Schizosaccharomyces pombe: one gene and its partners. The gene in region 4 interacts genetically with the main gene of each other region. Each region holds a gene or a part of one and is shown on either strand. Other genes may lie near its edges.

The links.
Region 1: mutations in prp22 (region 4) and mug151 together harm fitness more than expected from each alone (negative genetic interaction), as found in Schizosaccharomyces pombe (one large-scale study listed by BioGRID).
Region 2: mutations in prp22 (region 4) and atd1 together harm fitness more than expected from each alone (negative genetic interaction), as found in Schizosaccharomyces pombe (one large-scale study listed by BioGRID).
Region 3: mutations in prp22 (region 4) and arv1 together harm fitness more than expected from each alone (negative genetic interaction), as found in Schizosaccharomyces pombe (one large-scale study listed by BioGRID).

Annotation. Positions count from the first base shown.
Region 1 is NC_003424.3:1,933,197-1,936,971, forward strand, and holds mug151 (transcriptional regulator HCNGP-like protein), read left to right. Parts: upstream 1-2,117; 5' UTR 2,118-2,160; coding exon 2,161-2,601; 3' UTR 2,602-2,762; downstream 2,763-3,775. Other genes in the region: sdd3 (metallopeptidase), read right to left, coding at 1-1,502; protein Mdm31, read right to left, coding at 2,880-3,038, 3,140-3,775. UniProt on the Schizosaccharomyces pombe protein: Has a role in meiosis.
Region 2 is NC_003424.3:4,452,460-4,457,864, forward strand, and holds atd1 (aldehyde dehydrogenase), read right to left. Parts: upstream 3,199-5,405; 5' UTR 2,613-3,198; coding exon 1,101-2,612; 3' UTR 821-1,100; downstream 1-820. Other genes in the region: ATR checkpoint kinase regulatory subunit Rad26, read left to right, coding at 1-126, 182-610.
Region 3 is NC_003424.3:1,890,351-1,894,915, forward strand, and holds arv1 (Arv1-like family protein Arv1), read left to right. Parts: upstream 1-2,193; 5' UTR 2,194-2,203; coding exon 2,204-2,290; exon of another isoform or gene 2,291-2,575; coding exon 2,576-2,710; exon of another isoform or gene 2,711-2,765; coding exon 2,766-3,344; 3' UTR 3,345-3,496; downstream 3,497-4,565. Other genes in the region: pof15 (F-box protein), read left to right, coding at 570-1,301. UniProt on the Schizosaccharomyces pombe protein: Mediator of sterol homeostasis involved in sterol uptake, trafficking and distribution into membranes. Also regulates the sphingolipid metabolism.
Region 4 is NC_003424.3:1,205,747-1,212,477, reverse strand, and holds prp22 (ATP-dependent RNA helicase, spliceosomal Prp22), read left to right. Parts: upstream 1-1,898; 5' UTR 1,899-1,993; coding exon 1,994-2,066; exon of another isoform or gene 2,067-2,119; coding exon 2,120-5,553; 3' UTR 5,554-5,666; downstream 5,667-6,731. Other genes in the region: CTP synthase Cts1, read left to right, coding at 1-273, 494-1,032. UniProt on the Schizosaccharomyces pombe protein: Acts late in the splicing of pre-mRNA. Required for the splicing of introns with a branch nucleotide to 3'-splice site distance greater or equal to 15. Mediates the release of the spliced mRNA from spliceosomes.

The DNA of each region.
Region 1 (3,775 bases), 730 kb from region 4:
TTTTGTTCATTCTTTTCTTTTGATTTCTTCAGTTTTTCGGCTAATTTTTCCAATCCAGACGCCCCCAGCAGACATCTCCGTTTATTAAGCTGCTCCGCATTCTCTTTCTTGATGTTTTCAGCCATTTCGAAAGAGGGAAGCGCAATTACTGTCACTGAATTGTTTTCTACAAACCATTTTTTTAACAATTTTAGCCAGTCCTTTTCTTCCCATTCCTCTAATAATCTATTGTACTCCAGCATCTTTAATAAGTTAGGAAGATCTTTACCTTCTCGACTTCCGTAAACATGATCCAAAGTCAAAATTTTCATAAAGAGAGAACTAGGGAAAGCCTCTAGATTTGTTAAGTATTGATCGCGTCGTGTTTTTAAGTAATCCTTCATACGATTCATGTCGATTTGCTTAGTTTCGGCCAAAAGACGTAAAGCACGTTGTTCTAAGCCATTAATTTTTTCTAAAGGAACGCTGTCAAAAAACAACTGAATAGAACAAGGGACACGGAGTGAGACATAAAAATAAACAAATGAGCAAAACGGGTCTTCAATTTCAACAAAGGTCTGCCCAAATGGGGAGACGGCAGATTCACTCAGGAATTCACAAAGTGTTTCAATAGCAAAAACAGTGTATGCATCTAAGGCCGAGGGTCCATTCCAAGCTAAAGAAACAGATCCAGTATATTCGTCTTCGGAAGAAAATTTAACAGTTTTCAAAATTGGCTCAGGAATAGTGTAATCCACATTAGTTGAACACCATGGACGCGTCCACGTAGGTGGAGTGATAATACCATTAGCTAAAATTTCCTTTACGATACCAGAGGCACAGCTTAGAAGCCTTGATTCGTTAATGCACCCGGTCACAATTAAACAAATATTGCTTGGAACATACATTTCCTTATGATATTCTCTAATTTTCTCGATAGACAACTTGCGAAGTTCGCTGGGATGACCACCAGTCTCATAATAGTAACCACTGGTAACTGGATATTGACTAGTTCTCATACAATCAAACATAACATCCGTCTCTGAGCTTTGAGTATTCTGCATTTCAGAATAAACAACACCGGACTCTTCTCCCATACCATTTATATGATAAACTTCTGTGCAAAACGCTTCATCGCTTAGAATTGGAGACAAAATGTGATCTGCAAATACAGGCAACAGACGAAGAAATCCATCTTCCTCAGCAGCAGAAAGCTCATATGAAGTATAATCAACATCGGTACAAGCATTGATATCACCACATGCCCTGCCAGCAAATTTTGTAAGAATGCCATTCATGGGATACTTTTTACTGCCCATGAAACACAGATGTTCAAGGGTATGAGGACAGCCAAGATTATCGTGAGCTTCAGTTGCTACTACAAATGATCCTTGTAATCTGGATGTTGGAGTTTTTACTGAAGCGACGCTGAACCCAGTTGCATCGTTTATCCATTTGTTGACCGTGTAATTCAATATACGCTCACTTGAGATTTGGCGAAATGATGTGTCATCAGAAAGCATACTTTAATAAAGTTATCCAAAACAGCAAAATCGAGCAAAATGAGCAATACAATGTCCCGTTTCCCAACGAGAGTGCTGTTGACTTTAATAAAAAATCCTTAACAAGAGAATACAAATACGATGTTTAAGGATTCTCTATTAAAGAAATTTAGAATTACCTCTATAACAGCGTAACAACTAAGTAGTAGTAAGAAAATGGTCAAGAAATTTCATACTTTAGTATGCATAAACTGTATAGACGAGGTAACGTCGTTACTGTTCAGTTTGGTTTGCAAACACCTCCTTAATAGAATAAACGTTCGCTATTAATGAATAGGTTTGAGATATGTTCAAAGATAGTTTTGTGTTATTAATGCAAACATACTAGTTGTAAAAAACGGATTTATCATATGGTAATTAAAAAGTGATTTGTACCTCAAAATGAACGAGCAATGTACTCCTAGTCCAACTATAGGTTTTTACACTTGTTAACAAACAACCAGTAGATGCATTTATAAATTACCTTTCCTAGGTTTTAATTAAGGAAATTAAAAAGTCTGCATCTTTTGGATGATAATAGCAAACCTATATATTTTGCAACCACTATGGTTGCACAATACTTAATTTGCTTCTACCGTACACTATCTATCTACTTTAAATGCTTTGAGTTTTAAGAGTTATGTCTTTGGTAGCCTACGACTCAGAGGAAGAGGAACAAACTTCGTTAGTAAATGAAAACAATGATATTAAAGGACGTTCTGAGGAACCCCATTGGAAAATCCCAAATTCTCCTAAAGCTGAAGTTGACACAGAGCTGGAGAAAAAGATAAAGCAATTTATAAAATTAAAGGCAAAGGGCATTCATTTTCATACGAGACTATCAGAAAATGAAAATTTCAGAAACCCAAAGTTACTTGATAATTTGCAGGATTTTCTGGATATTAAGGAGCCAAGAGGAACTATGATATCTAAGGATATGTGGGATCCAACGGACTTTCATAAAAACGTCTATGCATCCGCACTCTCTAAATCACAGGATGAAATGATTGCCAGGCGTGAAAATTACCAAAAGCATGATAGAACTGAAATTAAATTTCAAACCTCTCAACATCCTAAATAAATTTGAGTATCAAAAGATAATGTGTTTGTAAAAATAATTTCGTTACCGAATATATATAAGACTACTTAATTTAATACCTTAGCCTGTTATGAATAAATGATCCAGAAATGCCAATTTTGATAAGACATTTATATGGCTAGTAGCTTAAGTCATTAGTTTACCCTAGTCAATTTTCAAAAATAATAATTGTTATTATAATAATTTTAACTACCGATAGAACAAAAAAGCCTTTCATGAAGAGAATCAGAACCGTAAATAATAAATAGCATCACTTTTAACTATTCGAAATTACTGATTGAAGAAGTTGTCGGAGCCAATTCCTGCAAAGAAACCAAAACTAAATGCAAAAACCTCCGAAGACTCCAGTAGCCAACTTTCTGAATTCGTTTTCTTCGTATCTCTTGATTTAATACATCTCGAGCAAACGATTCATACACCTACATCAAAAATTAGTATTTATTAATATTCAAAAGCGTAAATTACTCTTAAATTTTAGGAAAAGACGCTCTTTTATAGTAAGGAACAGGGTAGAACTTACCTGCGCCGAAATTTCTTGTAAAACACCACTGTCGTAAAAAGTCCAGCTTCCATCAAAGTCAGAAAGCGGTTTTGATACATGACAAAGAATAGGGATGAATGTCCGTGTGGAATTAATGTAAGCAATAATAGGTCGAATTAAAGCATTGTTGATATAGCTTACTTGATTTGTAAAAATAGGAATTACGGCTTTGGGATTATGTAATTGCACATTAACATCAAAGTGAACGTCTTTGTAAACATCCTCATCTTTTTCTTTCTTTTTCAATTTGTCCATCAAACTTATCCACGCTTTTTGGAAAGAATTTTCCGAAGGTTCTGATGGAAAAGAAATATTAACTAAAAAATCAACACTGCCATCATTAATCCATCCAAATGCTCCCGAAACACCTCGATTTAGATGATCGATTGCGACATTATCAATACGCAAGCGACTATGTCGCATATCATCGAGTTGTTTACCGACTTTTAGGTACGGTGAATATGGACGAAGTTGTAATCGATGAATAGTAAACATACTATTATCAAAGCTTCCGGTGAGAGTCTTAGCATTCATTAAATCATAAAATAACCATTGTTTTCTAAGCCTAGGAAGCTCACAAAAGAAAACACTAACGGGGAACTTCCGAAAACCTTT
Region 2 (5,405 bases), 3.2 Mb from region 4:
TTTTGCGCTTCAGTTAACTTGTTAAATGCCGATGATAAATCCCAAGAATCACTCATGCAACTTTTCACAACTATGGCCCATATTTTAGTTGTTACTACTAGGGAAAGGATTAATTTTCCTGAATTGGTACGTTTACGAATTGTGCTTATAATCTTTGCATTGCTTATTTCTAACAAATTAGAATGAATGGATAACGCTTCATCGCTTTGTCATATCCTTTTTTACCGTGTTTATACAAATGTCTGGAAACATTGGTAAAGAGATTTTAAAAGTATGCAATCCCTTAATAGTATGCATCGGACTAGCCATCACTTGGTATCATCAGCAACTCCTTTCGTCAATGTACCCTCAAAATGAATGCGTAGAGATTTTAGTATCTCTTGTTCGGCTTCTGTACATTTTATCTTCCGAAGATTTATCATCAAAATTTATGTTAGCTGAAAATGCGTTACAACCTCGTTTCGTTTATGCAATAGCATGCTGCGCATTCGGCGATACTGAACAAAAAGCGTTTGGCAATTTGGGTGAGGAAATGTATTTTCTCACTACAGAATTGTTGGAAGTTTGCGTCTCTCCCGAAGAGCTGGAGCAGTTGTACACTAATTTTTAGATAATGAAACAGATGAATCTATTTCCCTAATTTTTCAAATGAAATAATGATACTTGTTTCTTCAGTGTTGTTCTTTCCCGTCCCGCACCCACATCCTCGCAAATTAAATACAAATCAATCTGTTTCCCCAAAGGAATGCGTACCACAAAAACATCCCCATTCCGTTCTTTTAGTAAAACTTACGGCTATATTTACCTGCAAATAAAATCATCTAGCAATTAACGAAAATGAATATATTAAAGTACCACTAACATAAAGAATCATCACTATGTAAATTCAATAAAATGCATTTGAAAGTTCAAATATCAAAACCGTTTTGATTCATAATAAAGAAAATCCGTCATAGAAGAGTTTCAAGAAAAACTGTAAACATTCATAACATAAAGAGAAAAATCCAATAATTCTCTTCACTAGAGTTTTTCTTCATTCTTTATCCATTGAATGCATATTTTTTTATTTTTTTTACAAAAAATATTTGCGTCTGATTTCCTTAAATGGGAGAATCCATTCCCAGGTTGATGTGAACAGCTTTTGTTTGAGTATAATTGGTAAGACCGTAAGAGCCCAATTCGCGACCGATGCCACTCTCCTTATAACCACCAAAGGGAATTTGGTGATGAAGTAAGTTATAACAATTCACCCAAACAGTACCGGCTTCAAGAGCATTGCTGACCTTGATGGCATTGGTAATATTGTTAGTGTGTACACCAGCAGCTAAACCATATGTACTGTTGTTACCGCGACGGATGGCCTCCTCGATGGTCTTGAATTTAATGACGGCAAGAACGGGTCCAAAAATTTCCTCCTTACCGACAGCCATGTCCTCGGTAACGTTGGAGAGAATAGTAGGTTCGACAAAGTAACCGAGATTACCATGACGCTTACCACCAATCTCTAATTTGGCACCATGAGCAATGCCACTCTCAATATAACTAACAATACGTTCATACTGTTGCTTACTAACTTGAGCACCTTGGAAGGTATCTTCGGCGAAAGGATCACCAACCTTCAAAGTCTTGGCCTTGGCAACCATGCGTTTAATGAACTCATCGTAAACATCCTCTTGCACGTAGACACGGCTACCTGCACAACAGACTTGACCAGAGTTGTAAAAGATACCATAGTTAGTCCAGACAGCAGCTGAGTCCAAATCGGCATCGTTGAAAACAATATTGGGAGACTTACCACCCAATTCAAGAGTGACCTTCTTCAGGTTGGAGGAGGCGGCAGCACGCATAACCATACGACCGACACCGGTAGAACCGGTAAAGGCCACCTTATCAATGTCCATGTGAGAACTAATAGCGTTACCACAACGGCGACCATCACCGCTGAGAACATTGATGACACCTGGAGGGAAGCCACATTCAGGAACAAACTTGGTAAGACACAGAGCGGAAAGAGGAGTGAGTTCGGCAGTCTTCAAAATAATAGTATTACCACAAGCGACGGCAGGAGCAATTTTCCAAGCGCACATCAAGAAAGGGAAATTCCAGGGGATGATTTGACCACATACACCAATGGGTTCGTGACGAGTATAGGCAAAACGCTTAATGTCGGTTTCAATGGTTTGACCATAATCCTTATCGGCCCAACCACCATAATAACGGAAACAATCGGCAGCAGCTTGAACGTCACCTCTAGCCAAAGTGATACTCTTACCATTGTCAAGAGTCTCAATAGAAGCGAGGTATTCCAAGTTTTGCTCGATACAGTCAGCGAGACGGGAGAGGCAACGTCCACGTTGAGCGCTGGAAAACTTGCGCCATGGAGCATCGGTCTGGAAAGCGGCACGAGCAACTTTCACGGCGATATCGACATCCTCTTCGTCGGCGTCAGCTACCTCACAAATAAGTTTCTCAGTAGAAGGAGAGTAAACCTTCACACGACCACCGTGAACGGAATCGACATGTTGGTTATTGATAAAGAGACCGACAGGTTGAATGTAAGTTTTTCCTGTAGGAACGGTAATTTCGACGTGATCAACGAGTTTTGTAGACATTTTGAAAAGTTTGTATTAAAAAATTGAGAAAAGGGGTCGTTGTCGTAAATGAGTAAGAGTAATTAAAAAATTAACTAGAAAAAAAAAAAAACCAAAGATAAAAAATGAAGTAGTGGGATAAATTTGGCAGAGCTGAATTGAAATGCAAACACAGGACAAAACCAAAAGATCAGTAATGAAATGGAAAATATGAGGTGTTAACGATTGTATAAAATAATTTTATATCAACCAAAGTAAACAACGTCGTCAAAAAGTTATGGGCGAAACCAAACTATAAGTAAAAGAGCACCTAATACGAAAAGATTAGATGGTCAGAAAAGGACCGGGGTAAATAAACAATGGCCTCTTATTATTCTTAAGAAGAGGGGGATGCAGTTTTTATAAAATGTGATAAAAACCGAAAGACGACAAAATCAATGAATTAAAACAATCAATTGTCGTTGTTAGTAATAATACCACAAAGGAAACCTATATCAATTTGGATGTAGGAAGTGAAGGAAAGACTATAGATAGAGGAATATACTAATAAGAGAATAGCAAGCGTGTTGTAGAAACGAAAAGACCGTGCTGTTCTACTTATTTCAGTGAACTGCAAAGGGGGGCGAATTCAATATTTATAGTAAAAATCATATATGACTTATACGATGATTAGTAAACAAAGCTCCAACTCCTACTGATTAATGGTGACACAAAAGACCGACACCTGGACGAATGATTTCCTATACATGATCTAATTCAAACAACGACGAATGACAAAACAGGACACCTTACCCCATGATGTCAATGCTTAATTTTGGCGAATCAAAGGAAGAGACACCCTCAAAAATCACAAGATTTCATATGTGCTAGCGTACGCAAAGCTTCCCTCCCAAATCTCACTGTGCAATAGTAATATGCTTTAGAGGGAATTGCATACTCGGAAATACAATTCACTATATCGAAAATTTGATATTAACAAACGAGGAACGATGAAAGACGAACGACGTTGAAACTCCGATGCCAGCCAACCTAGTCTAGTCTAGTAGCAAAAAGCAAAGCAACTTCTAGCGCCATCTGCATAGTGCGCTTTCGCTTCTTAAATTTTCTTCCTTCTCTTATTTCCCAAAGAATGCGATGCGCTGAGAAAATGGGAGCACCTTGGGCTAATCTAGTCAAAATGGGTCATTTTCGCAGGAAACCCCATGTTCTTTCGCTCTCCGAAAATCCCAAACTCGCTTTTCATTTGCTTTGCTCAACTTGTTGGTTTTGTTAGCTTCGACCCACTGGTAACTGTTAGTATTCTCTGCTTTATGGCGAATTCCCTTCTCACACGTTCCTGCCCCATCAACACGAGAAGTTCGGCCCTGGGCCCTTTGAATTTTCCCTACCAAAACATCTCTTATCATGGTACGTTACGTGCGGCATTTAACGTGGATAAATGAATGGAAAGCATAAACGTAGATAAGCCATTACGTTGAATAACCAAGCATAAACGTTGATACACAAACAAAAGTGGGATTTCATACATATGCATAACAAAAGAAACTTTAATCTTCTGATAGCGTTTGTTTAGTTTGGTTTGTTGACCCGCACGTCCACTACGGCCGCGAGGAGTTGGGCTCTTTTCGTACGACCTCAAAATAAGGTTTATTACGTCAATGTGCCGTAATTACTTTAATGCATGCGAAGCGAATCATGGCCAAGCGATGAGAGTAAAAAAATGGGAAACAGAGTTTATCGAGCGGTTGGTTAAACCATTATTCTGTATTTAGGAATTGGTAATAGTAGCAAACGCTTGTGTAAACAGATATACCCGAGACACTAAAATTCGCCACCTACGCTGACATCTTAGACATTAGCTACGCCAGTTTCCGCCCAGTACTTTGAAAGTCGCAAAGTGGGGGATTTCGATCCTTATGGGGGTAGGGTGAGCGTTAAGACTAGGAAAGGGTGGGATGGAGGGGACTGGTGAAGACTTGGACTGGGGTTCACGTGTGTGGGAGATTTTGGTCTATGTGGGGGATTGACTGGATTGGTAGTTGTAAAACAAAAACACAACGGTTGTAATGTAGTAGTAGTAGTAGCAGTATAATGTGTTTCAAAGTTGGTCTTGATTGATGAATGTGAGTCGATTTTATGCCAACGTGTCTTTTTTTTTTGTTTTCACTTAACGAACCAGAGTTCCATTTGTTACTAAAGAAAAATAAAATATAAAAAAATAAAATAAAATTCTATTTCTTGAGTGTTTGTCCCTACTACTCTTTATTACATTTCTTTGATATTCCCATCGCTTGCATCCTAATTAGCAACCTCTTTAGCATCATAAATATAATACTACTACTTTCTATGAGCCAGTATTTTGGTCGACCTATTGCTGCTACTGCAAAAGTATCCTTTCTGCGTCTTTTTAAAATTTTCAACATGCGAAGCTTTCTCTTGACACTGTTGTGTTAAGGTTCGTTAAGCGGTTCGCACTTTGACCACCTTCGGACATTTGTCTTCGTTTATAGTCCATGTGATTAGTGCATAACCTGCTATGGTATAAAGCATGCAACAAAGGAAAATGAAAGAAAGTATTGAATATGCGAAATGCGACGCTGATTAAGGAAGACTAGAATGAATTAAAAAATTTTTCTTGATATTGCTTTAGAAAATCTTTTTCGTTTCCATTTGTTGTTCTTTTTTTTGCATACATTTTTTTTTTCGGTGGCATTCATTTTATTCTTTTCGGTTTGTTTACCTAATCAAATTTTACTATTTGGAAGTGCTTCATCCACATTTTCAAGAGCTAATAAAATTTTTTTTTTTGCTTTC
Region 3 (4,565 bases), 680 kb from region 4:
TTAGTTGATCCGGTTTGATGGAATAACTGCTTGGCGCTCGTTCATTCGTTCTTTAAGGTTCAAAATGGACATTTTTATTTCAACTCTAATTACGATATCGGCAGTTGGGAGAGGAGGCAAAAGGCCAAATTTTTAGTTTATAAAAAGGAGCATCTCCTTTCATCTATTCTGCAGAAACCAAGGCTTGTATTGTGAGACGTAAAGCGTTCAATTGCAAGGTTTCCCCATTGCTAGTCTCGTTGACAGTCATTCCTTGGCTTTAGAAAAAGAAGTTTGCTTATTTACTTTTTTCACTAATTTTGGAATTCCGTCTTTTTGAGCTACTTGTTTGTTTAGACATTTTAATTCTTTAATTGTTTACAATTTACTGTCTTTTTTCCTTCATAATAGAAACGCATATCGAGGTTTGAATAGGTCGAAATAGAAATATTTTGTTTTGTTAATCGTCCATCATCTCATTTCATTCACATTCCATCGATCGGTGCTATATTCTCTTTATTTATTCAGCTTAATTGCCCGATTTTTTTTTTAAATTATTTCTTACCTTTTTTTTTTTGGTTTGGTAAAAAATGAGCTGTGTTACTAGAGCCCCCATGTCTGTACCCCAGACTGCCCTTCAACCTAATTCCTACGTTAATTTCGACGCTCAACAAACATCTTCTACTCTGCTTCCAGTAGAAGTCATTGACTCGGTCATGCAGTATTTACCTGCACACGACGTTATCCAGTCTAGCTTCGCCAGTTATCCATTGACTTTGATTGCCAACAAGATCATTCGTGCTCGTCTTTCCTTCTTAGACGAATATTCACTTCGCGTTTTTGCAAAGGATGTCTATACCGATTCACCGATTTGCAACTTGTCTGCCCGTCGCGGTTTGTATTCTTTACAATATGATGGTTATTCGGTATTCCACTTGGATCCTAACAATTGCTCCTCTATTTTTCAAATCTCCTTTGAGGACGACGAGGATCTAGCTTCTTTTGAACGATACCCTGGGGAGTTTCTTGCTCCCCATATCAATGTTCGAATTCACGTTACCTTGTCTCGTTCTTCCTGCGATCGTCATCAAGCCGATATATTTTCTTGCTTTCAAGATCCTATTCGTGTCCGCCGGGATTGGCTTGATTCGATAAAACCCGGTCAACCTGAAACACTTTGGTTTGATCAAAACACTCAACATGTCATCGGTCTAATTGTTACAAGAGTTGATGCTGCTCCTGGAAAGTATGATCTTTCTGTTACATCTGTTATTGTTCAAACGGAGTACCTTTTATCTTGCCTCGAGAAAAGAGTACATTAAAAAAGAACTTTTTCCATTCTGCATTGTTTAATATTCTATTATTTAATTCTCATGAGACAATCATGATTGCGTTCCGTTTTCTTTTAATGTTTATTTTCGTTGCTTGACAAGCCTGTGTCGCTCACGACTTCTTTGTTTGACATTTTGTACTTATTATTCTTTTAATTAAAAATTTAATTTACCTGTGATGTATGTTTTGCTGTGTTAATACATCCTGGTTTCTCATTTAATAAATGCGTTTATACATTTTACGCAGTCGACTGGTTTTTTTTTTCAGCGTTGTTTTAATTTCATTCAGCATTTGGCTTCATGTACAAAATTTATTTCTTAACATTTTTTTTCTAATAAACTTTTTTTTGTTGTACTGAAAAGTAAAAACCTACCTTTTTTTAAATTGCTCAATCAATTGAATGTTGTTTTCACGTTTCTCATTTCTACGAATATTTTAGCCTTTGTAAAATCTTTTTAATAGACGCTTAATCTTGTAAATGTGACTAAGTCTATACTACGTTCTTTCGCTCCAGTCAGTCTGCATTGTTTTGAGAGTTAGTGATTTTATGCTGGAATCGACGTGGTTATTTCGCAAATCTTTTAAATATGTAGTGAAAGCAGTATTTGTTTATATTATTGAAGAACTGTAAAATTTAGGTTTGACATTGGTGGTTTTTTGGCTTTACAACTCGTCTGTTAACGGAATTGGGTAGTGTTCAAATAAAATTTAAAATTGGTAGAACTCTGGGATAAGTTTTAGTATTTATGTTTCTATGCAAATAAAGATAAGCTTACTTGTTTCATTTTTTCTTTAAATTCTATATATCTTCATTGTTTTTACATGTCAACCAAGAATACGAATGTTTGGTTCATAAACATACCTCAATACATTGACACCACCACCCGTCACCATGAAATGCGTCGAATGCGGCGCGGAAGTCGATTCTTTATACACATATTATGGAAGGGGTACCAGTAATATTCGACTAGCTCAATGCGTAAGTAATATACACACAATATGTTTCGTTGATGTAGTCAACTTGATCGTAAGGAGCTAAGGGCAAGTCCATTCCAACGGCGACGAAAAGAAGCTTCATGAATATTTTTCTCTTCAAATATAATTTACATTATTGTAAGCAAATGACGATCATTCAATTTTTGTCTCCATTTATCTTGCTTAATGAATACTGAGAGTGGAATGCGTAGTCTTGCTGTAATCGTTAAGATCGACTTGTTCTTTAGTTTTTTTTAAGTACAATTTCAAACTAACGACTATGTTACAGAAAAACTGCAAACAGTTTGCGGACAAATACATTGAATTAGATGTTGTTCTCATCAGCATGGATGTAATTTTGATGAAACCGCAAGTTTACCGTCATCTTTTGTTTAATTCTCTGTCGGCACGAACATTTCGTAACGTAAGTATTTTATTCATTTCAATGGCTTTTTAAATAGCTGACAAAATGCGCAAAGGTTGTCAATTTCTGCATATTAATTTCCCTTTTCAACGTTTTTTTAGTTTGGTCACGACTAGAAAAACGCGCAGCCCTCTTCCCCTACTTCACACCTGCCCAAGCATTTCTCTCCCAGCCAATTATCCGGCAGTACTTGACTTTACTGCTAATATGTTTGGTTGAGACAACTGTGTATCAAATTTCAGTAGTTCTGTTATTATGCCTAACAATGGGTTGGAAATCTTGGACTTCTGCGTCTGGCGCTGTAATACTTTCTTCTAGCACAAGAATGCTACCCGTTTTCATGGTAATTTGGGACTACGACCTTTCTATAGCGGCAACCGTCGTAGAATGGGTAGTTTTGTTTAGCAATGTGGATGCGCTATGTATATTAACTGGAAGCCGGCGGTATTTTAAAATTGGCTTAATCGTTCTTTTTGCCAGTCTCGTGAGATCTATTGTCGTTTATATTTTTTTACATTTAACAGGACTTTCACAGATTCAACCATCAACTCCTTGTGATGGGTTTCAGCATTTTGTAAATCTATTATGTGTATACTTTCGTTCAATCACTTTAACTGCGCAAACTGCAGTATAATGACAAAAGGAAATGGGAAACAATACGGCATCGACATAGTGTATCAGTTATTAAAAGTTTTTATATCACCCGTTTTAAGAAACTGGTCAATTATTAGTTCTTTAATAAGTTGTTGATATTTAAAAAATATGAATTTGATGAACCAATTGAAACCGAAGCCAGTAATCATATTTCCTAATCTTGTAATATGAAACTTGAAATGGTCTAAATAAAAATAATAATTACACCCTCAAAGCATATAGATATGTAATAGATACAATTATATAGAGGAAACACTGCAAGGAAATAAAAAAGGCAAAAAACTGAAAAAAGTAAAACTATTTTGCTGAGCATAACTAAACAAATGATCATTCGAAGATATTTTTCTTACCAGTGGAATTTGTTGCATTTTTTTAATAACAAAGTTCAGAGGTTTGCTTTTGCTGTCGCTAAAGAACCCATCACAATTTTATCAGCTACGATATTTTTTAAATATTTAATCAATATATGTATATAAGTCTTTGTTCATTATACATTTGTTTAGTTATAGAAGCAACCAGGTCAGCTAACACCGTCTTAGCTCGTAATGTAAAATAAACTCATAGTAAGCGAATGAATATTTCAGTAAGTTTTAAATGAAATAAAAATTAGAAAGTAAGTAATTTATAGAACTGTAAGCAAATGCAATCAGACCCGTTGAGATTGAATACAGTAAACTATTTTTTAAACCCAATTCAAAAAAAAAAAATAGCGTTGTTTTGCTACATGTGCTGCATTTTGTGCTTTTAAAAAAATTTAAAAATAATAATAATAATAATTTAGTGTGTAGCTAAGATGTCAGCTTTTTATAATTAGTATGTTAAATCAATTAATAACAGGTTACATTAGCTTTTAGTGAAGAATGGAAAACTTGAAGATTAGGTTGGCAGACTAATCTTCAGTTGGATGTAGCCCTATTAAAAAGCAGCAGAAAAATATTCTTTCCGATTTCGGAGGGTTGTATAATGAATTAGATTTGTAACGGTAAAAAGTTTTTGTGCAAATAAGTTCCGTATAATTAACCATGTTTTTCTAATCTCTAAATTAAAACCTAATTTGAAAATAGGGCAAACATGTAATTTTCTTGTATTTCTCGACTTTTGTTTTTTATTTTAATTAAATTATCAATTACAGAAAGTATTTATTTTTTAATATGACTCTAATATTTTCATACTGTCTATCCTTTCACTCTAATCTACATGA
Region 4 (6,731 bases):
GCTGTGGTCGTAAACTTGACCTCCAATGGGTAGAAGCTTCTCATTTGGAAGCTAGTACAAATACTAGTGACCCACTTAGTTACCATAAGGCATGGCATTTAGTCTGTTCTGCCAATGGTATCCTAGTGCCTGGCGGATTCGGCTCTCGCGGTGTCGAAGGGATGATTGCCGCAGCCAAGTGGGCTCGTGAAAATAATACACCCTACTTGGGCATTTGCCTTGGTATGCAAGTTGCCGTTATTGAATTCGCGAGAAGTGTTTGTGGAATTGAAGGTATGTTTTTTGATGCTTTTATTGGACTCCATTTTAAATTTTTAACTGCCTTCTATTATTTTTGGGATCTATAGATTCCATGCACTTACTAGAGGTTTTTGTCATTTTCCGTTGACTCTAACTGTAGACAAGTGCTACATGAATAGTTAAACAGTTATTATTAATTGGAGCATATTTTTTATTTTGCTTCTTTCAAAAGATTTTTAACTAACATTTCTAGGTGCATTTTCTGAAGAATTCGATAAGGAATGCGAAAACAATGTTGTTGTTTATATGCCTGAGATTGATAAGGATAAACTGGGTGGAACTATGCGTTTGGGATTGAGACCTACCTTTTTCCAACCCAATTCCGAATGGAGTAAACTTCGTAAACTTCATAAGATGGTTGATGAAGTTTTGGAAAGACATCGTCATAGATATGAAATAAATCCTGCGTTTGTAAGCCGTTTGGAACAAGGTGGAATTTCTTTCATCGGAAAAGATGAACGTGGTGAGCGTATGGAAATTATTGAGAAACGTGACCATCCTTACTTTGTTGGCGTACAATACCATCCTGAATATTTATCTAAGCCACTTAAGCCCTCCCCACCGATTTTTGGATTGGTTGCGGCCAGTGCTGGCTTGTTGGATGAATTTATTCAGTCTGGTGAGGAAGTCGAATGGAGCAACTTTTCTCATTTTAACGCTGAATCTGCCTTAGCTGACATGAATGACTCTGTTGAAGTTACTGAAGAAGCCACTGTCGTCACCATCAGTTAGAAGTAGGTTATATGGGATTCCGGGAATTAGGAAATAATGTGTGTTTGTTGGTGTGTTTTTCTTTATCTATAGGAAAAATTGGGTTCTGGGGTGTTGACACTATTTATCAATTGTTGTTCTGCTCAAAAGCTTTCTTTTGATGTATCCAGTAATTTTGCAACTGAACCGTTAGTCTAATTAAGCTTAACGTTATAGAGACTATCTAGAGATATGAAATGACTCTCAGAACTTCTGAGCCATTTTTACGGTTATTATATTGTAGACATTTAGAGTAATGCGTTTTGAATGCTCATTACGTGTGAGTTAATCACAGAGGCTCTGTAACAATGCATGCAAATACTGTGTTTAAAATACAGTACAAATGACATAAATCTATTAGCATATGAGGTGCCGTAGTACTGTATTAATATAGATCGATACTTTTCGAAAAGCGCTATTAAAGTATTTACGTTGATTTGCATAGGTAATAAATATGTCAAGTGTACAAGCATACTTGCAAAAAGCACTTCAGTACGTATCAATCGTTGAAAACTGTAGATAGACTTATATATTTTTATATTCGCTACGCCCTGTCATTGATTTAGCCATTAAAACATTCTAGAAATACCTTACGTAAACTTTGACAGTAATTAAACATTCAAGTTGCAAAAATTATTTCTTAATAAGGTACGAAACTCACCCCAGTTCCTATTGTAAACAACACGGACTCAAAGTTCAAATAATAAGTAGAGCCTCGACATTATTATAACGAACTGTAATTCAGCTACCTTATTTGCCTTTGGCGCAACTCGTTGCGTTGACAGCCATGAATATTTATTTGTACAAAGTTAGGAAACGCGATTGTCTATTGCACGCGTTTCATTTTTAACCATACACCTATGTTTGGTATGGAGCAATTTTGAAAGTCTTCTTCAAACTTCGATTTAATTTTTAGTGAATCCTAGTGGGAGAAAAGACAATAATGGACGATCTGAAAGAATTGGAGTATTTATCCTTGGTATCTAAAGTTGCCTCTGAAATTCGAAATCATACTGGTAAGTAGTAGGCTTTAATACTCATTTTTTTATAAATAATTAACCAAATCTAGGAATTGACGATAATACTCTTGCAGAATTTATTATTAATTTGCATGATCAGTCTAAGAATTACGATGAGTTTAAAAATAATGTCCTTTCATGTGGAGGAGAATTCACCGACAGTTTCCTTCAAAACATAAGTCGATTAATTAAGGAAATTAAGCCTAAAGATGACATTCCCACTGATAATGTAAATAATGGTAGTAACTCGGTCAATGGAGCTTCGCATGATTTAGATAGCAAAGATGTTGACAAACAACACCAAAGAAAGATGTTTCCTGGCTTAAGCATCCCAAATAGCACGAATAATTTAAGGGATAGACCAGCGCTTATGGATAATGCTATGGACGAGCTGGAAGAACTTTCGACGTTGGCCAAAACAAGGAGAAACGATAGGGATTCTAGGAGGGATGAGCGGCATTACCTCAATGGAATAAGGGAACGTAGAGAGAGATCAATTAGTCCCAGTTTTTCGCATCATTCACGTACCTCAATTTCTGGTCAATCACATTCTAGTCGATCATCGCGTGGTCCATTGCTAAATGCTCCAACATTGTATGGAATTTATTCTGGTGTTGTCTCAGGTATTAAGGACTTTGGTGCCTTTGTAACTTTGGACGGCTTTAGAAAGAGAACTGATGGTTTGGTTCATATCTCAAATATCCAATTAAATGGGAGATTGGATCATCCTTCAGAGGCTGTTAGCTATGGACAACCTGTATTTGTAAAAGTTATTAGAATTGATGAATCAGCAAAGCGAATCAGCCTGTCAATGAAGGAGGTGAATCAAGTTACAGGTGAGGATTTGAATCCGGATCAAGTTTCACGTTCTACAAAGAAGGGTAGTGGAGCAAACGCTATTCCATTATCAGCCCAAAATTCTGAAATTGGACATGTGAATCCACTTGAAACGTTCACTTCAAACGGTCGGAAGCGTTTAACATCACCTGAAATATGGGAGTTACAGCAACTTGCTGCATCCGGTGCAATTTCCGCTACGGATATTCCTGAACTCAACGATGGATTCAATACTAATAATGCTGCGGAAATTAATCCCGAAGATGATGAAGACGTAGAAATCGAACTTCGTGAAGAAGAACCTGGATTTCTCGCAGGACAAACCAAAGTTTCATTAAAGCTATCTCCTATAAAAGTTGTAAAGGCCCCGGATGGTTCATTGTCCAGAGCAGCAATGCAAGGGCAGATTTTAGCAAATGATAGACGAGAAATAAGACAAAAGGAGGCAAAATTAAAGAGTGAACAAGAAATGGAAAAGCAAGACTTATCCCTCTCATGGCAAGACACTATGTCGAATCCTCAGGATCGGAAATTTGCCCAAGATGTGCGAGACTCAGCTGCTCGTCAACTTACTTCTGAAACTCCCAGCTGGCGTCAAGCAACACGAAATGCAAATATATCCTACGGTAAAAGAACAACACTGAGCATGAAAGAGCAAAGAGAGGGTCTTCCAGTTTTTAAACTTCGTAAACAGTTTCTCGAGGCTGTCTCAAAAAACCAAATTTTGGTTCTACTCGGTGAAACCGGTTCCGGTAAGACCACTCAAATCACTCAATATCTTGCTGAAGAAGGTTATACCAGTGATAGCAAAATGATAGGTTGTACTCAACCTAGGCGTGTAGCTGCAATGTCTGTTGCCAAACGTGTAGCAGAAGAAGTGGGATGTCGTGTTGGTGAAGAGGTTGGTTACACTATTCGTTTCGAAGATAAGACCAGTAGAATGACCCAAATTAAATATATGACTGATGGTATGCTTCAACGAGAATGTTTAGTTGATCCTCTTTTGTCCAAATATTCTGTAATTATTTTAGATGAAGCACATGAAAGAACCGTTGCAACTGATGTACTTTTTGGACTGTTAAAGGGAACTGTTTTGAAACGGCCAGATTTAAAGCTAATTGTTACTTCAGCCACGCTAGATGCTGAGCGGTTTTCGTCTTATTTCTATAAATGCCCAATTTTTACGATTCCTGGGCGTTCATATCCCGTCGAAATCATGTATACAAAACAACCAGAAGCCGACTATCTTGATGCTGCTTTGATGACTGTTATGCAAATCCACTTGAGCGAAGGACCTGGTGATATATTAGTATTTCTGACAGGTCAAGAAGAAATTGATACTAGTTGTGAAATATTATATGAAAGAAGTAAAATGCTAGGAGATTCGATTCCTGAGCTAGTTATTTTACCTGTTTATTCAGCGCTTCCTTCGGAAATACAAAGTCGTATTTTTGAACCTGCTCCCCCAGGAGGTCGTAAGGTAGTAATTGCAACCAACATTGCTGAAACTAGTTTAACAATTGATGGAATTTATTATGTGGTGGACCCTGGGTTTGTCAAGCAGAGCTGCTTTGATCCAAAACTAGGCATGGATTCTCTAATAGTTACGCCAATTTCTCAAGCACAAGCTAGGCAAAGAAGTGGTCGTGCAGGGCGTACAGGACCCGGAAAATGTTATCGTCTGTATACTGAAAGCGCTTACCGAAACGAAATGTTGCCTTCCCCGATTCCTGAGATACAACGCCAAAATTTGTCGCATACTATTTTGATGTTAAAGGCAATGGGAATTAACGACCTTTTGAATTTTGATTTTATGGATCCTCCACCTGCTCAAACCATGATAGCCGCCTTGCAAAATCTGTATGCACTGTCGGCCTTGGACGATGAGGGATTGCTGACTCCTCTTGGGCGAAAAATGGCAGATTTCCCGATGGAGCCTCAATTGTCAAAAGTATTGATTACTAGCGTAGAATTAGGTTGCTCTGAAGAAATGTTGAGTATTATTGCCATGCTTAGCGTACCTAACATTTGGAGCCGACCAAGGGAGAAGCAGCAAGAAGCTGATCGACAACGAGCACAATTTGCAAATCCTGAGAGTGATCACTTAACCTTACTTAATGTGTATACGACTTGGAAAATGAATCGTTGCTCAGATAATTGGTGTTATGAACATTATATCCAAGCCCGTGGTATGCGTCGAGCTGAAGATGTACGCAAACAGCTTATTCGCCTAATGGATCGGTATCGACACCCAGTTGTTTCATGTGGAAGAAAGAGAGAACTTATTTTACGGGCTTTGTGTTCTGGCTACTTTACCAATGTTGCCAAGCGAGACTCTCACGAGGGATGTTACAAAACGATCGTGGAGAATGCTCCTGTATACATGCATCCTAGTGGAGTTTTATTTGGAAAAGCTGCAGAGTGGGTGATATACCATGAACTGATTCAAACGTCAAAAGAATACATGCACACGGTAAGCACAGTGAATCCAAAATGGCTTGTGGAAGTTGCACCAACATTCTTTAAATTTGCCAATGCAAATCAAGTTTCCAAAACCAAGAAAAATCTCAAGGTGCTACCATTGTACAATCGATTTGAAAAACCCGATGAGTGGAGGATTTCAAAGCAACGAAAGGGAGGTCGTTAATAATTTTGTTGTTTATTATTTATATAAAATGTATTAATTAGATATGTTGTTTTGGTACTACAAAAAGATATGGGGGTCATAAATAAAATCTTTGTTGATATATTCAAAATCGTACTTTGAAGTGTCTTAGCTGGCTATTAGTTCGTGAGACGTTTAGAAAACGAGCAGTATATGTTGGGTTTTAGTTCTGCTTGGTTATGAAAATAGTGGACAGCTTTCCAAGTGCTGCAAAGTACAAGGGTAATTCAAAGTACAAGAGTATTTCATAGTACGAGATGACGCCAAAAATCCCTCTCTACTGTGGAAAGGAAAAAAAAAAAACTGATCACCGGCTAGACCCAAACACTCTTATGATATGGCAGCATACAACGTGTAAATTACTCTCATTCTCGCTCGAAATAACTCTAACCCCTAGCCGAGACAATATTGAGCCATCTGTCGCTTGCCTTAGATCTCTGTGATTGTGCTTACCACCTTAATCAAAGCGCGCGTTAAAATTAATGCCATTCCACGCAATACCACGTAATAATGCTGTTGGCTTACAGTATTGCGTGCCCCGTTACAAAATGATCCGTAATTTTCAGGCGATGGGAATAATAAGGTTGTATAATCCAGAGAAGTAATCGTGTTAAGGAGATTTGAGAGAAATTTGCTTCTCCTGAAAAGCTGGGGAACTCATCGTAAGATTCACAAACTGCTTAGATGCCAACACCTGAGACTTGGATCCTAGATTGCGACCCACCTCATTGGACGGTACACCTGCAAAAATATGTTACCTCAGGTAGCTTCCTTCAGTGTCTGTATTGCAGTATTGCGTCTTATCACGCAATTGTATGAACACCGATACGCTTGAAGTAGGACTGTATATACATTGAGTAGGCACGGAGTTGTTTTCAAAAAACCACCACCAACCTTTTAAACGAATTTTTCAAGGAATTTTGGAAATTGCTGTTTCAGTATCGATTTTCGCACTGAATACACGTGAAAAAAAAAAGATTTTTAAACATATTGACTTCTTCCTACGAAGAGTTTCAAGGAGGTCGCACAATTTTCATTCTTAGAAAATAGTTGAAAGTTTGCAGTCGTTGAGGGATAATCTGAAGAGAACGTTAATTAAGTTTAACCATTTTTTTTTTCTCTTCCATCTCTCATCAGCTTTGTTTTCTACTTTTGAGTCT